2 linked regions of the Danio rerio genome follow. The protein of the gene in region 2 interacts with the protein of the main gene of each other region in a pairwise test. Links are inferred from orthologs where the notes say so. Each region holds a gene or a part of one and is shown on either strand. Other genes may lie near its edges.

Region 1 (8,261 bases), on a different chromosome or scaffold from region 2:
ATATATATATATATATATAATTTTTTTTTTCAAGCAAAATTGTGATTAACCAATGACTAAAAATTCACCTAATGCAAAAATGTGAATCTACTCATAATTATTTTTAATAAAAGCTAGAAATTAAATCAAACTAGAATAAATCAGGTCTATGCTCTTTCTTGAACTTCTCATATACTGCTTAATGCTTTCATGTGGTTCATGCCAGTTCTTTTGACACTACCATTTGAAAGTCAAAGCAGAATTCGAATCTCGTCAAGCCAGATAAACACTTTTCCAGTCGTCTACTGTCTAATTTAGTGTATCTTGGTGAATTGTAGCCTCGGTTTCTTTTGTTATCTGACAGGAGTGTCTCCTGTGTAGTTTTCAGCTTCAAGGTTTGACATGTTGTGTTCAGAGATGCTCTCCTGCAGAACTCAATTGTAACAAGTGCTTATTTTCATTCGCCTCTTCCCTCTGGCATCAACAATGCATTTTCACCCATGAGAAATGTCACTCCCTTGGTATTTTGTGAGTGAAAAAAAATCCCTGAAACTTTGCAGTTTCTGAAATATGCTCAGGCAATCCACACAAAGCCAGGGTTGCATTGTGAAGCAAGTCTTTAAAGAACAAAAAGAAAGGCAATATCTCAAATGTGTTAAATAAGGTGCTTTTTATTAGAGTGGCTGATTATAACATACAGTAAACAAGGTTAGCATAATGGAGACAGCTGATTGGTTATATTGTAATATTCGCTATATCTGAGATTATTTAGCAAATGTTACAACTGTAAAACCTTTTTTTTGTTAACCTACTTTTATTTAATATTAGCTTTTCCATTACTTGTTTCTCATGTGATACTTCAAAATGTGCATTAAAAATGGTAATGGAAACCCAAAGGAATTTAAAAGAAACCCTGGGTAGTTGGCCTAATATAATGTAAATGGTGTTTATCATTTAAAAACACACTTATCTTGGACTTACTGTGTGGGGGTCGGGCGACATGTTGGCTCAGTGGTTAGCACTGTCGCCTCACAGCAAGAAGTTCACTGGTGTGTGTGTGTGTGTGTGTGTGTGTGTGTGTGTGTGTGTGTGTGTGTGTGTGTGTGTGTGTGTGTGTGTGTGTGTGTGTGTGTGTGTGTGTGTGTGTGCATGCGTGTGTGTGCGTGTGTGAGTGAATGAGTGTGTATGGATGTTTCCCAGTACTAGGTTGAAGCTGAAAGGGCATCCGTTGCATAAAACATGTGCCGGAATAGTTGGTGGTTCATTCCGCTGTGGCAACCCCTGATAAATGAATGGACTAAGCCACTCATTATTTTATGTGCAAGACAGCAGTCGCTAGTCAGAAACCACATGTCTGAAAGTTGCAACCAAAAAACACACAATGTGGCAGATACTAATATTTGAATTGTTCTTATGTTTGTAATATTGAGTTATTTTGATGTAAAAATATCAACAGGCAGTGTCAATATAACTCAGCGTTTCCATCTGAAACTTAAAATTAAGGCACCACCAGTAGTCCAAAATGCATGTTGTTTTTTTAAATAACAAAGATTTTTCAAATGTTTCCAAAGACATAATGTAAATAATGTCTCTCACTGAAATTACATTAAGTGCCCACACTTTTTCCTATGAAGGGCTTGATTGAGGGTGGTGGGCCGAATGTAAACATACCAAACTCTATTTCATTAAAGTTGCATTGGTGGTTTCCTAATTTAATATTTAAAAATAACTTTAACATTGCTTCATATTATCTTATGCAGATTTTATTATATAATGAACTTCATTCATTAATTCATTTTCTTGTCGGCTTAGTCCCTTTATTATTCCAGGGTCGCCACAGCGGAATGAACCGCCAACTTATCCAGCAAGTTTTTTATGCCAGCCGCAACCCATCTCTGGGAAACATCCACACACACACATTCACACACGCACTCATACACTACGGACAATTTAGCCTACCCATTTTACTGCATGTCTTTGAACTGTGGGGGAAACCCACACAAAGGCAGGGAAAACATGCAAACTCCACACAGGAACGCCAACTGAGCCGAGGTTCGAACCAGCGACCTTCTTGCTGTGAGGCGACAGCACTACCTACTGCGCCACTGCCTCACCTGTATAATGAACTTTTTATAGTAAAACAAAATTCATTTAAAACAGAATGGAGTTACACTAGTAAAGCTGCACCCTCTGCCTTGACTTGTTTATTTTCATTTACCTTTTTTTTGTAGATCAGCAATAAAATAATCAAACAAACCAAGGTTGCGTTAAATTAGAAATTAAGATCTCTGTTAAAGGCAATTGTCCCAACCCTCCCTATCAGTCTCTCTTCTCAGATGGGATGGTGGGCCAAATCAAAGATTATCAAGGGCCAAGTTTGGCCCACATGCCCTAGATTGGATACCTCTGGCCTAAATGATATGTTATTACAACAACTAGGCCTATAGCAAAACAAGTTGCCCAATAGCCTGTGGTTAGTTATATATTAGGCTACATGATAATACATCACAATTTACTGTTGTAAAACTAAAATATACTACAGTTGCCTACACAGTTTATTATAGATAATGCAGTAGCATTTATTAGCATGTGTTGTTAACTTAATACTTTATAGTATAGGCCTACAGTATAATAAACTTTACTATCATTTGTTTCAAAAACACTATCGTAGCCAATTTACTATGAATTACTCCATTATCTTTTCATGTGCGTTGTCTTGGCCATGTTTTCATCATGTCTAAATGTTTTGGATTGCTGCCATGTGGTTAGCTGATCCGATTTTTGGCATTAACATGCAGTTGTGTTGCTATTAAATTGTCCATTGAAAAAATGGATATGTACCAAGCAAACCTCGAAGAACTTTAACCTGACCCACCCACTAAAACTTTACATGCTGTGTTTAATTATTTATTTGATTATAATTTTTTACACATTATTTTGTCAGCCACCTACATCCGCTAGGGGGCGGCAGCGCGAATCCCACTGACGCGCTCTTCTTCTCTGTTTATCATCATCTTTTACTTCCTCTTCGAAATCATGGCGGTGCACGGCCCGGTCGTGAAAATCCACCCGGTGGTTTTGGCTTCGATTGTGGACTCATACGAGCGCAGGAATGAAGGAGCGAGTCGCGTGATCGGGACATTATTAGGTGGGTCATTGAATTCTTGTGTGAGATTTATGAGACAGTTGCGATTATTACAAACAACATGAGCGTCGCTTGGTCTTGTGGAGCATGTGTTGTAGTCGAGCTGAATGGCTGGGGTGGATGAGAAACTGTACAGATCAGCAGCATCACTTACCTGGTGGTTGTGTTTGTGTGTCAAACAGGAACAGCAGATAAACATTCAGTCGATGTCACCAACTGCTTCTCTGTTCCTCACAACGAGTCTGAAGATGAGGTGAGAAAAAAAGCATCATCTAATACATCCTTTACATTAGTGTGTGCCAGACATTTATGTAGCTTTTTAGGCATAACGAAAAACAAAACAATTTCACATCACAGGTATCTCACTGTAACTTTGTAATGGTCTAAAGGGTTCGAGTGAGACATCTGTGGTATTTCATGTTCTGTTGTTATGCATCTTTAGCTAATTGATTGGTTGAAATACACTTACAAACCATCAGCCAAAATTGAAGTGAGGTAAAGTTGATTTTATATTTGCACATTCAGACTTTCACCTTCTTAATGTAATTTCAGAAAGGTATTCTTTGTCAAATCCTAAACGGTCAACTCAAATTAACAGCCAGTGACTATTAAAGTACAACATTGTTTACAGTCAGTTAAATGGTGCTAATGTGGATTTAAAGTAGGCATGGGCCGGTATACAATTCTGACGTTAATATTCTTTAATATAAATATCACATTTTCACAGTATTACATAGTGATTACGGCTCTGCTAAATGGTAGCGCTCCAGTTTTTTTTTTTTTTTTTACTGTTTACAAACTGGTAATTCATCTATAGCAGATAATTTTGGCGGTTTTAAAACATCAGTTTTTTTTTTAAATCACTGTGTACCTTGAAAACGGTTATCGTCCCATGCCTATTTTGAAGTCATGCATTTCAGACCGATTATTCAATGTAGCCTGGTAAACAATGTAGGGACCTTTCATAGAGTTCATAAGCTTTTTTTTTTTTTTTTTAACTATAACAATTTGCTAATTTATCTGTATTAGCCTTTTCCCAGAGATGGGTTGCGGCTTGAAGGGCATCCTCTGCTTAAAAACTTGATGGATAAGTTGGCGGTTCATTCTGCTGTGGCGACCCCGGATTTATAAAGGGACTAAGCCGACAAGAAAATGAATGAATCTGTATTAGCCTCTTTAAAATTTGCTTTACTATTTTATTGAACACGAGTGTCTGAATGTTCAAATATAAAACCAACTTAATTCAAAAGTGTCATGTTACATGCTACTGTATTTTTGGACATGTACCATATGTTATTTATGCTTTACTAAGGAGCACCAGCATTTAATCATCATCATTGTGCAATTTATTTACCTTTTAAAATTATTTTTATTTTATTTTTTTTAAATAGGTGGCTGTTGACATGGAGTTCGCCAAGAACATGTATGAGCTTCATAAGAAGGTTTCGCCGAGTGAAGTCATTGTTGGATGGTATGTGGCCGCATTTCCAAATTAATATAATTCTTTTCTTTGCTAAAGTTTTGTTAAGTTATTGTTGTAAGCACATTTTTTGTTATATTTTTAGAAGGTTTAGAAACTTTTGTGAACATTTGTTATTTTTCATTTAATGCATTTTGCTTTGCGCTATGGTAAAATAACTAAAATAAGAAAATTAAATAAAATGATATTTTTTTCTCCTACAGTCCCATGATTTATTTTTGCAGCCATTTTAAATGTATATCTCATGTTTACAAGTTTATATTTCACAATTCAGATATTCATTTCATTTTCATTTGTTGTTCTTACAGTTCAGTTTATATTGCTACTCTTTTTTTTAAGTATATTTGCCTTTTATTCCATTGTAAAAGCAAGCTTCCATTAGGCCTGTCACGATATATCTAGTTTTTGTTGTACGGTATATTGCACCAAAATACATTGCGATAAATGATTTTATTGTGATTTTAATACCATTCTATGCCACTCATTATATAATACCAGAATGACAATATAATATCACCACAATGCAAGTACACTCATACAAAGAACACATAATATTTTATTGTTAAGACTATTTAATTTAGTTATCCTATGGCTTTGGAATGAGATTGTAAAAACGCATATCATAAATAATAATAAATGTTAACAAAAAGGTGCAAGGCAAAAAGTAACAGAAGCTGTGATATCTGCTAGCAGATCTATTTTTAGTTGTCAGACACCCACATGAAAATCTTCTATAGCAATTTATAGTAAAACCTGTAGAGCTTTTTAAACCATACTGACACCTCAATAGAGATCGAGATGTTGCAAAACCAGCTGAAATGTTGCTAGAATTCATTTTTATGTATGGGCGATATATATTGCATCACTAAAAATGTCTGAGGTCATGTCAATATAATATGACACGGCTTATCAATGCGATAAGTTCATATATTGATTACTGTGACAGGGTAGCTTCCATAATGTAGGTTATATCTATATATCAAAAAAGAATAATTATACAGGTAACAGAATTATTAGAACTTAAAATGGAAAATATTACAAAAATGACTATCTAAAATATTTCAAAATATAATAATAGAATCTGATTTCAGATAAACTTAAGGAATGTTGTTTCACTGAAGAAAGAGGCTGTGTTGTTTTTGCAGGTATGCCACAGGATTTGACATCACTGAGCACTCGGTTCTGATCCATGAGTATTACAGCAGAGAGGCTCCAAACCCTATTCACCTCACTGTGGACACGGCACTGCAGAGCAACAAAATGAACATCCGGGCCTACGTCAGGTAACACAACCACAACAAACAAATGCTGACTAGTGTACAATAATCGCTTATGAATTAAAATTTTATGTTTACATAATAATGTTGTGTACTATCTGTGCATATTTGTTATGGGTATAAATAAATGCATGTATCCACGTATATGCATATATAGAAAATGCTTGTTTATATTTATATTATCAAAGATTTTTTTATAGCAAATGATATAATAATTTATACAGTTTAAGTCAGAAACTAGGGGTGTCAAAATTAATCGTTTCTTCGGTGCACCTCGATGCAGACATGGACAATTTGGTATCGGTTCAGTAATAATCATAACTGGTTAATACTGACGTCATTTACCTCATATGCGCTCTGTCATGAGGGAGGCGATAGTGAGTATTTACAACGCTCTAACTACTTAAAACTCATAAACTGTGCACGATTTCACTGTGTGTTTGCTGGATCAGTCTTTCACTGACATATACAACTATTTCACTGAGATCGAGAGAATGAAAGTACTCCATTTCTCTCTCTCTCTCTCTCTCTCTCTCTCTCTCTCACACACACACACACACACACAGTGGCTAAAGAACCGAGCGCGTGTCTTCAGAGTTTTCTCCACCATGTCTATCATACATCAGCTGTGAGATCGCCCCTGCCGCTTATCAGTGTCACTCATCTGTGAAGAGCGCAGCACTTACGTTTTTTATCGCAACCGTGTTTGTTGAGGGTGTGACCAATCAAAGAGGTGTGAGAGAACTAGACAAGGATCAGAAATTGAGCTTGATATTTATATTTGTTTATATTATTTGCTTAATGCTCGTTTTGTTTAAAGTTACAGTTTATATATCTGACTGTTTGCATTAAATGACAAAATTGTATTACAAATAATATGTAAATATAAATAACTTCATACATTTTAATACAAGAACTGCTGCTGTGAAGAAAATATAAAACTCTGTATGAAAAGCACCGTCAATGCACCGTGATGCACCGAAATATCGAATTCAACCGAATTGATGGCATGATAATCAGAACCGAACTGTGAGACTAGTGTAGGTTCACAGCTCTATTCGAAACTGTAGGTCTTTTTTATTTCTGTTTAACGGAGAGAAGATTGTTTATTACATTTCTTAATATAATAGATTTAATAACTCATCTCTAATAACTTATTTCATTTTTGCCATGATTACAGTACAAAATATTATACTTATTCATCCTTCTGCACGCTGTTTCTGTTGTTCTGCAATAACACTTCCCAAACGCAAGTTGGCAGTGAGGTGTTAATGTTCCTCTGTGTCGAGTTTCTTCGCCTGTGTTTTGTGTTTTCTGAACGCTTCCTTAATTTACAAGTGGTTCAAACTCGCTCATTTTGAGGCAGGAACCGGCGGACATGCAACAACTTTATCCGTAAGGTAAACACAAAACTTTCCATCCAGAGGTCCTTCACGGGACTCCACACTTGTAAACAATTGCTCTATTGGGCTCGCGCGGCTTTCGGTCCCGCCCACACTCGCGGTACCAAGCCGACCAATCACAGAGCTTAACGCTACACATCGTTGCAATGTGTAGTTACATTTTTGGAGAGGTGCACGTTAGCCAGGGCCAGGGCTACGCCTCCACGCATAGGCTGCACCATAGTATACACGTGAGCTTGACACAGAAGTAATAATCAGCCTTTAGGCTCCATTTAGTCTTAGTTTTAAAATGGCATTTTAGAACGGAAACGATCCACGTCCACACTGGCGTTGCACCTAGCCTTTCTGAACAGATCTCCGTCCACACTATACCGCTGAAAACGCACATCACGTGACTACATACACACACACAAGCAGTCCATGTCGGTCAGTTTGTCAAGGATGTACCGCTGCATTGTGTCTCACTATAGTTGTTAAACGTGATATTTAATTAATCTGGTCTCTATCTAACGACTCTTCTGTCTTTTCAATCTGTCAGAGAATGGGTCACAGCGTCAGTACACTGCTTCAATCTTTCACTTTCACGCTTGTACTTAGTAATTTTATCGAAAACCTCAGATCCTGTTGGTTGTGCATCTTTTTTTATCTATTCATGCCTGAGTCCCTTTGATTGACAGGTGGTAATTTGTGTGTAACTTATCTTTATTTATTTATAAATTGGTCATGGGTAAAACAAAGACGGGTCAGGTAGTTAAAACGGTAGGCTACAAATAATTTAATTTGTTAGGAATTAATGAATTTTTCATAAATAATTAATTTGACAACGATGTCATTGTCTATTGCAATGTTTCACATTAGACAACATATCATGCAATTGGTCGACATTGCCCAACCCTAATCTGGAACTCATGTTCTGTGATACCCCCTTCTCAGAGGTAGATTTGCTCTTCTTCATTAACAGTGTTTTTCTGTTGGTT
Region 2 (7,589 bases):
AAGGCCGGCTGCACACCAGCACGTCTGCAGAATCAGATGGGCCTCAATATAAACCATTGTCAGCCACGGCTGAGAGCACACCTTCCTCGTCCACACACTCAACCAGAGCTCTATCTGCAGTGACCACCATACCTGCAGTGTACACATCACCTCTCTCCCATTCTCCTAGCGCAATCCAGTACACACCCCTCCCTCACAATATACACTTCATCAACCCTCCTTACTCTGCACCATACGCTGGCTACATCTCTCCACTAGCTCCCCCTTTAGCTGCCACCACTACCACACAACGTGAGATTTATGCCAGCTCCTCCAGTTCTCCAGCATCCAAAATTGATCAGCACCACCAATTGGGCCGTCCTCAAGGCCTGGTCACAACTGACAACACCTCTTCACCTCACTCCACTCAATATGTTCAAATTGCTGGTTCTCCACTAAGCATATCCCCTCGAACTGTTTCGTCACCGCATACACACTTGCCCCTACATTTACATCCTCACCACACACTTCCCCTTAGTGGCCCTTCACAGGTCTTAGTCCCATACACAGAAAGTCTTTTACCCAAGAGGGAGGAGATGAGGACCAGGGAGTTGCTGAATGGAGAGCTGGAGAAGGACAGACGTTTTGGTCCATCTTCTGAGTCCAGTGCAGGGAAGCAGGGCAGCACTGCCAAAGGGGGTTCCTCTGCCCAGCAGCACCAGATCCACCAGCAGCAGAGCCCACGTCACTTTGAAGCTCGACATGTTGTGCTACCTGCCGAGTACACGCAGGACAGCACAGCCATGAGGACCTCATTGGTGCTGGTACCTAATAATCATAGCTCCACTAGTGCTGATTCTGGAGGTGCATCAGACAAGCTGCCTCCCTCGACATCCCACCATGAAAAAGGAGGGATTTGTGCTGGCAAACCTGTCTCCCGCAGTTCCTCCTTATCTTCCTCCCTTTCATTTGCTCTTCCCCCTCCACCTGTGGACAATCTTAAGGGAGCAGTTCCAGCGCAGTCTCCTCATGCAGTCATTCAGACCACACTTAACAGCACAGAGTCACTCTCTCTAAGCCTCCCCTCCACTAATTTCTACTCCACCCAGCAGCCTATCATTGGTTACTTTGCCGGCACAGGGCACCAGCAGCCTCTCAGCTACCACACCACCTTACCCCAGCACTTGGTCATCCCTGGAACTCAGCCGGTCATCATCCCAGTAAGTGGAACTGAAGCTACCGCTACATCAACTGCTGCACTGCCCCATGCTTTCGTCACCTCAACAGCCCCCAAAGTGGAAACTTTTGAATCTCCGGCTCCATACCCCCACCCTGCCACAGCTATGGTTCAAGCCCAGTTGCATTTGCCTGTGGTTCCAGCACCTGCTGGCCTGCTGACAACTCCACCCCCACCCTCAGCTCCTTCAATGCCACCCTACTTCACCAAGGGCTCCATCATCCAATTGGCAGATGGGGAACTGAAGCGGGTGGAAGACCTGAAAACAGAGGATTTCATTCAGAGTGCTGAGATTAGCAACGAGCTGAAGATTGATTCCAGCACTGTAGAGCGCATCGACAGCAGTCATACAGCTAACTTTGCTATAATACAGTTTGCTGTAGGAGCGCAACGCTCACAGGTGGGTTCATAAGTTTTCTATTTAACATTGCTGCTTGTAGACACATCTGAGTATCTGTTTTTCTTATGCACAAAGATAAGCGGGGAAATAAACTTGAGATTGATGACTATGTGATATTAATCAAACACTGTGTACCATGTCTGCACGTGGTAGTAAAGGGTTTATTATTAAAAAAAAAATCTAATGGAGTTGACCTTTGCCTAAGTTTTAGGTGTGTGTACAGCAATTATATTGTCCTCCATATATTATATATTGCCAATCTTTATGAACCATAACTTCCGTTTGTTTCTTGCCATCTCTGAAATTAGCATTTTTAACGAGTTTTTTTAATGTTTATATGAACATTCCATAACTGTTTGTTATTAAAGGTGCAGTAGGTGATTGTCTTCAGAAACACTTTTTGTTGTACTGGTTGAAAGTCTCTTTACAGTCCAATAGTAATGATTACAGTAAATAATCTAAATGTGTTTATATGTATTTTTATATTCTGGTTAAGGCATAAAACTAAAAAATGTTCATCCAATTAAATAGAGTCAGACCGACATCTCCCATAATTCCGATAAGCAGGTCAGACTGTCTGTCAGCAAATGTAGATTCGGACTTCTGCGCATCTGTTCACGCAGATCCGCCATTAGGACGTGCCCGTCTGCATAAGCGGCCGCGCGGTCACGAGACGGACCGGTAGAAATCAAATGCTTAATTGAAACTTTTAAAAACCTGAATCAATATTGGAGTTACTTTAGCAGGCTGGTGGAAGGACGACATCATGGCTGAAGTATTACTGTTAGACATGTAATGTTCTGTTTTAAAACTATTTTAGTCAGGCTAAGCTTATGTTAGATTGTGTTCTGCTATGAATGACTTATATGCACAGACGTGTTGTTCAGACCCTGAAATCTCCCGGTGAAAGATTGATGTGATTATTTTCAGTTTCATAAGGTCCTTTTACAGCATCGATGATGTAGATCAGGGGTCACCAATCTCGGTCCTGGAGGGCCGGTGTCCCTGCAGGGTTTTGCTCCAACTTGCCTCAACGCACCAGCCTGGATGTTTCAAGTATACCAAGTAAGACCTTGATTAGCTTGTTCAGGTGTGTTTGATTAGGATTGGAACAAAAATCTGCAGGACACCGGCCCTCCAGGAACAAGTTTGGTGACCACTGATGTAGATTTATGTTTAGTTTAACAAGAAAACATCAGTAAATAGCGCTATTTTGCCTAGCCTACTTTATTGAGCTGAAGTTGCTTTTATATTCACATTGGGTCATTTTTGAACAATGACAGCCTTCCTATACTGTTTACCATGCTACTCTGAATAATCTGTCTGAAATAGCATGTAAGTGTGGCTAAGTAATAAATGTAATTCCCGCACAGCACTGGCACTGACTAACTGGCGAATTACATGAACTAGTGGGTTGTCTGTCTGCTGTTGTAACGCGGTGCGCGCGCTCGCGATTTCAGGGGGTGTAGCTTTGAATCACAGTCCCTCCCCGCCGTCCCAATATAATATGCTAAGGGGTTATCGTTTTGGCAGATCACCTACTGCACCTTTAATTATATACAGTGCATATTTGAAGTATATCATTTACATTAGAATCCAAATTGCAGTTATTTGAATCATGCCATTTTATGAGGTGTGATTACAGTTGAAATATCTTGGCAAATTGGCCAAATATTATGACGGTTTCATAATATGCAGATGGATTCCAAAGATGGGTAATTTAATTTCATGTTTAACAATTGTCAGTTAAAAATCTTTACAGCATTTGCAATTGCCCAGGGATCTTTTTTTTTTTACTTTACATCTTCCGTGCAACTTCATCATCTCGCTTTGAATAAGCATATGGTAGTCATTAAGTTTATATTTTTATATGCTGTGAGAGTGTGAATGTCCCCTTATATGAACTCCACCTGCACTCAATCAGTGTAAGTAGATGTGGGGCAAATTGGCAGCTGAAATCATCTCCCTGTTCCATAATCCCTCCCCTGGCTGTCCCCATGGCATCTTTGTTTAGTTTGTGTGGGATTCACTGGCAGAATTGAGTCATTCCTTATTTCTGCTTCCTTCTGTTGTACTGTGAGTGGGCTGTATGAAAAATCTGCTTCATTTGTCTGGGAGTTGAGATGGGGCCACCCACTCGAAAGCAGTTCTAAAGTCTGTCATTTCGAGAGGCACTGATTAACAGATGCTTTTTAGCAAAGACATTCATTCATATCATCAGGCATTTGTGCACGACTTCTACTTTCGGAAGTCATTGTCCTCTCTTTTTGACTCCCTTTTTCTTTTGCAGGTCAGTGTGGAGGTACTAGTAGAGTATCCTTTCTTTGTGTTCGGCCAGGGCTGGTCATCTTGTTGTCCGGATCGGACTACTCAGCTGCTCGAGCTGCCATGCACCAAGCTTTCAGTGGGTGACGTCTGCATCTCCCTCACCCTGAAGAACCTGAGGAACGGTTCCATCAAGAAGAGCCAGGGGCAAGTCTTGGATGCACCTGCACTCGGTCCACCTCTTAAATCACCAAAAGCACTCTCAAGTGGCGCACGAGGGGGTGTTCGGCACACAGAACAGGAAAATGGACTCGGGCAGTGTGCAGATCAAGGAAGTAGAGGCGGTCAAGGCAATAGAGAAAACGGAGAACTGAGGTTTGGTGAAAGGGACAACTGCAAAGCTCCAACACTCACAGAATCAGAGACCAGCAGTAAACCCACAGGTCGAAAAAGAAGGTGGTCTGCCCCTGAGGGTCGTAAAGTAGAAAATCCAGAAGGAGAGCCCCCTTTAACGTTCCCTAAGCCTTCTTTCATCCCTCAGGAGGTTAAAATCAGTATCGAAGGCAGATCAAATATTGGAAAGTGAACATGCGTCGGACTGTCTGCTTTTAAAATTGCAAAATTTGCCCTCAGAATGTTTTTAATTGTTCTGTTGTCCAGATTTCTTTTCCTAAAGGCAAAATTTACTCAGTATCTATGTTATCACATCTAACATTGTAATTGAGGAATTCAATTTTACACAGGCAATTGGTGCAATTCAATTGATTGGTCAAATTCAAGGTGGATGTAGAGCAAGGTGAGAAGGTTGTGAGACGGCATGTTATCCTGAAGGCTCCGGCATATAAAATTACTCACAGCTGACAAGACGTCTCTCTAGTCTCTCACCTACAAAATTCTTTTGGCTTACAAACGACACTTAGTGGCAATTAAAACATTCGCTTGCTGAACCTAAAAATGTTAGTAAGGGAAGATGAACAAGTGGTGTGAATGTGGTGGCAGAACGGAAATCACTCCTCCACTGGTTGCAGGAGTTTACATGATGTCAGCCATCTTGTTTAACTGTGACTACAAGAGACTATCCAAATCGATCCTAACAATATAGAGCAGTATGGTCAGCACAGTTAGACTAGCAAAGATTCTGTTAACGTTTATTGAAGTGCAAAAAGAAGTTTCCAAATACTATGGTACAGGCCAAGAGAGATGATGTCATTGAGCGGTGCCAGTTTGCTCCTCAGAAAAGACGAAACTATCACTTTAAACAGGGAAGATGGACGAATCTATTTTTATATATCCAACTGTCTAACCTTTTATTTGACTATTTTTGTAGTTTTGCATGTCTTACTTTTCAAACCCTCCTATCATACCTGATGGGTAGATTTTTCTTATGTTTCCCTCCCTTTTTTTGTGATGAATGTGTCAACCTTGCAATCAGGGGTCATTTTTTTGTATGTAGACACAGAATGGGTTCTTGTCTATGAATATATATGCATGGATGTATCTTGATGCATACAAACACAATGGGTGAGGAAATCGACCAGTCTTTTGTTTTAGTGCAGTCTCGGCTGTTTTGATTTCGTTTAAAGAAGAGAACGTTGATTATTCTGAAAGAAAGAGTTGGAAAGTTGGCTGCGAAGGATGAGGTGTGAGTGCTGAAGCACTTAACTAATACGCCTGTCACTGATAGTAGTTTCAATCAACCGAATGAAATAATGATTTATTATTGTTATTATTAATGCTACAACTATTTTCTGTTGATTTTTTTCAATGTAAACACAGTACTGTATGCTGTATCATCAATTGGATGTTGAGTGACTCTGGAAAGACGATAGGGTCACAGTGAAGGAATGAATGTAAAAGGTGATCAAAGAAAGAGAGATTTTGTCCTCATGAGGATTGCTTTAAAGGAAGCACTTTTTTAAAGATTGGCTAAGCCATCTCAAGCAAGTTGAGTAAAGATGACGAAACAACTGCCATTTAAGTCATTCAAAGCGAGTCGAATGAAAGTATGAATGCGAATAAGGATGGAATGGAAATACGTACAGAGACTGTTTATATATTTACGAGAGATACGAGAGACAAAGTGTAAGTGAGAAACTCTGGCTACGGTAATCTTTGGAGGATCGAAGAGTGTCATATACTTGTTTGTTAGCAATGTGTGTGATCGTGCCCGCATGCGAGTTTGTGTGCAGCCGCACACATGCACATGTACACACGGTTACGGTGATTTTCAGTCATGTTGAAATAGACATGTCATGTATTTTTTGTACATTAACGTGTATAGAACTGCATATGCTATATCTATCTTACTGTATGAGAGCGCAAGACTACATGAGCACGTTTTTAGTCCCGTCCCCCAAGACACTGACTCATCGAACGTATGTGAAAGCAATCATGTAGTCATTTCAGTTTTGTGTGAGTGCGTGTGTGTTTGGGTGCGTGCATGTGTGTGTACATACCACACATATTATAAATAGATATTTAAGTTCTACTTAAAAGAATATTGCAATTTGCACATCTGGAGAGATAGTAACATGATTTATTTTGTTTTCTGCCAGCACAGACAGGGCCGAAAACCAGATTTTTACTGAAATGTAGCAGTTTCTTGGCAAGTTTGTTTAGTTCGCGGGTCTGTTAGGTTCATTTTCATTAGGAAAACCAGGAAGCTCCTTTTCTGGAGGGTTTGAATCAGCAGGATTTTTGCACGGTGCTGTGTTGAAGAGTTCGCTCATAGCCTGTAGTCTGCATACTTGTCAAGTCGTTCGAGTGGCCACGCTCAAGTTAACTTGGGTAGGTGAAAATCTGGCAGGAAGATGGGTTGTAGTAGAGAATAAAAAGATGAATGAATGGATTTAATGAGTGGTGGAGGGTGGGTGAGTGAGTGCACCCCATATACAATTTGAAAATGCTTTATTTTTTATAATAAAACAGGGTTTCTCAGATCAACACCACAACCATGCATTTTTTTCCCTTTTTTTCCATTGGAAATGTCTCCACTTCTGTCTTTTGACCTGTGTGTGTGAGTTTTACTTGGATTATATGTGTGAATGTATCCACTTCAACCAATCAAACTTGATATTTTCATTGTGTTCGACGTTTATTTTGGGCCAAACGCTAGAAATATTGTTTGTCCGTTGAACCACCCCAAGAACAGAACTGTCGATGGCGGTCTCGCATTTTTGTCTGGTTTTTCCAATCTTTTCCCTTTGTCCTTCTCTTCATGTAATGATCAGTGTTTTCAATGTCGCTCATTGCTTCAATCATTTAACAGTCTGCCTCCTTCTGGTTGCACAGTGTGGTTCCACGTACGCATGAGAAGCATTCCGAACAACGGCACGTAGCAATAACCCTTAGTCTCTAGTGCTGAACCAAAAATACAAAAAAAAACACACACACACACAGACATCAACACCAGACCTTCTGTTCGACCTCAGCAAGCTGTTTTTTTATCCTCTTTAGGTTGATTTGCAGTTTGCACAGCCGGCCCTCAGTAACTTCAGGGAGAAATGTAAATTAATATGCAGTGACAGAGTCTGTCCCCTCCTAGCCGTCTTAACCCGTAATCTATAGTGACCTCTAGATGCTCTTCAGGTGCCCATACAGAACCAGTACGCCTCTCTCAGAGTATGTTTACCCAACCGCAACCGTTAGCTACCTTCTGTTGCCTGGCACGTACGTTTGACCGCTTTCTCACAAGGCACAACCACCTAC

What was found.
Region 1: the proteins of atxn1a (region 2) and eif3f interact in binary tests that used the Homo sapiens proteins (3 or more experiments, as listed by UniProt). The link is inferred for Danio rerio from reciprocal best matches to the Homo sapiens genes ATXN1 and EIF3F.

What each region holds. Positions count from the first base shown.
Region 1 is NC_133176.1:11,700,189-11,708,449, forward strand, and holds the start of eif3f (eukaryotic translation initiation factor 3 subunit F), read left to right. Parts: upstream 1-2,988; 5' UTR 2,989-3,015; coding exon 3,016-3,127; intron 3,128-3,306; coding exon 3,307-3,377; intron 3,378-4,515; coding exon 4,516-4,595; intron 4,596-5,749; coding exon 5,750-5,887; intron 5,888-8,261. UniProt on the Homo sapiens protein: Component of the eukaryotic translation initiation factor 3 (eIF-3) complex, which is required for several steps in the initiation of protein synthesis.
Region 2 is NC_133194.1:34,919,010-34,926,598, forward strand, and holds the end of atxn1a (ataxin-1a), read left to right. Parts: coding exon 1-1,616; intron 1,617-3,906; coding exon 3,907-4,467; 3' UTR 4,468-6,832; downstream 6,833-7,589. UniProt on the Homo sapiens protein: Chromatin-binding factor that repress Notch signaling in the absence of Notch intracellular domain by acting as a CBF1 corepressor. Binds to the HEY promoter and might assist, along with NCOR2, RBPJ-mediated repression. Binds RNA in vitro.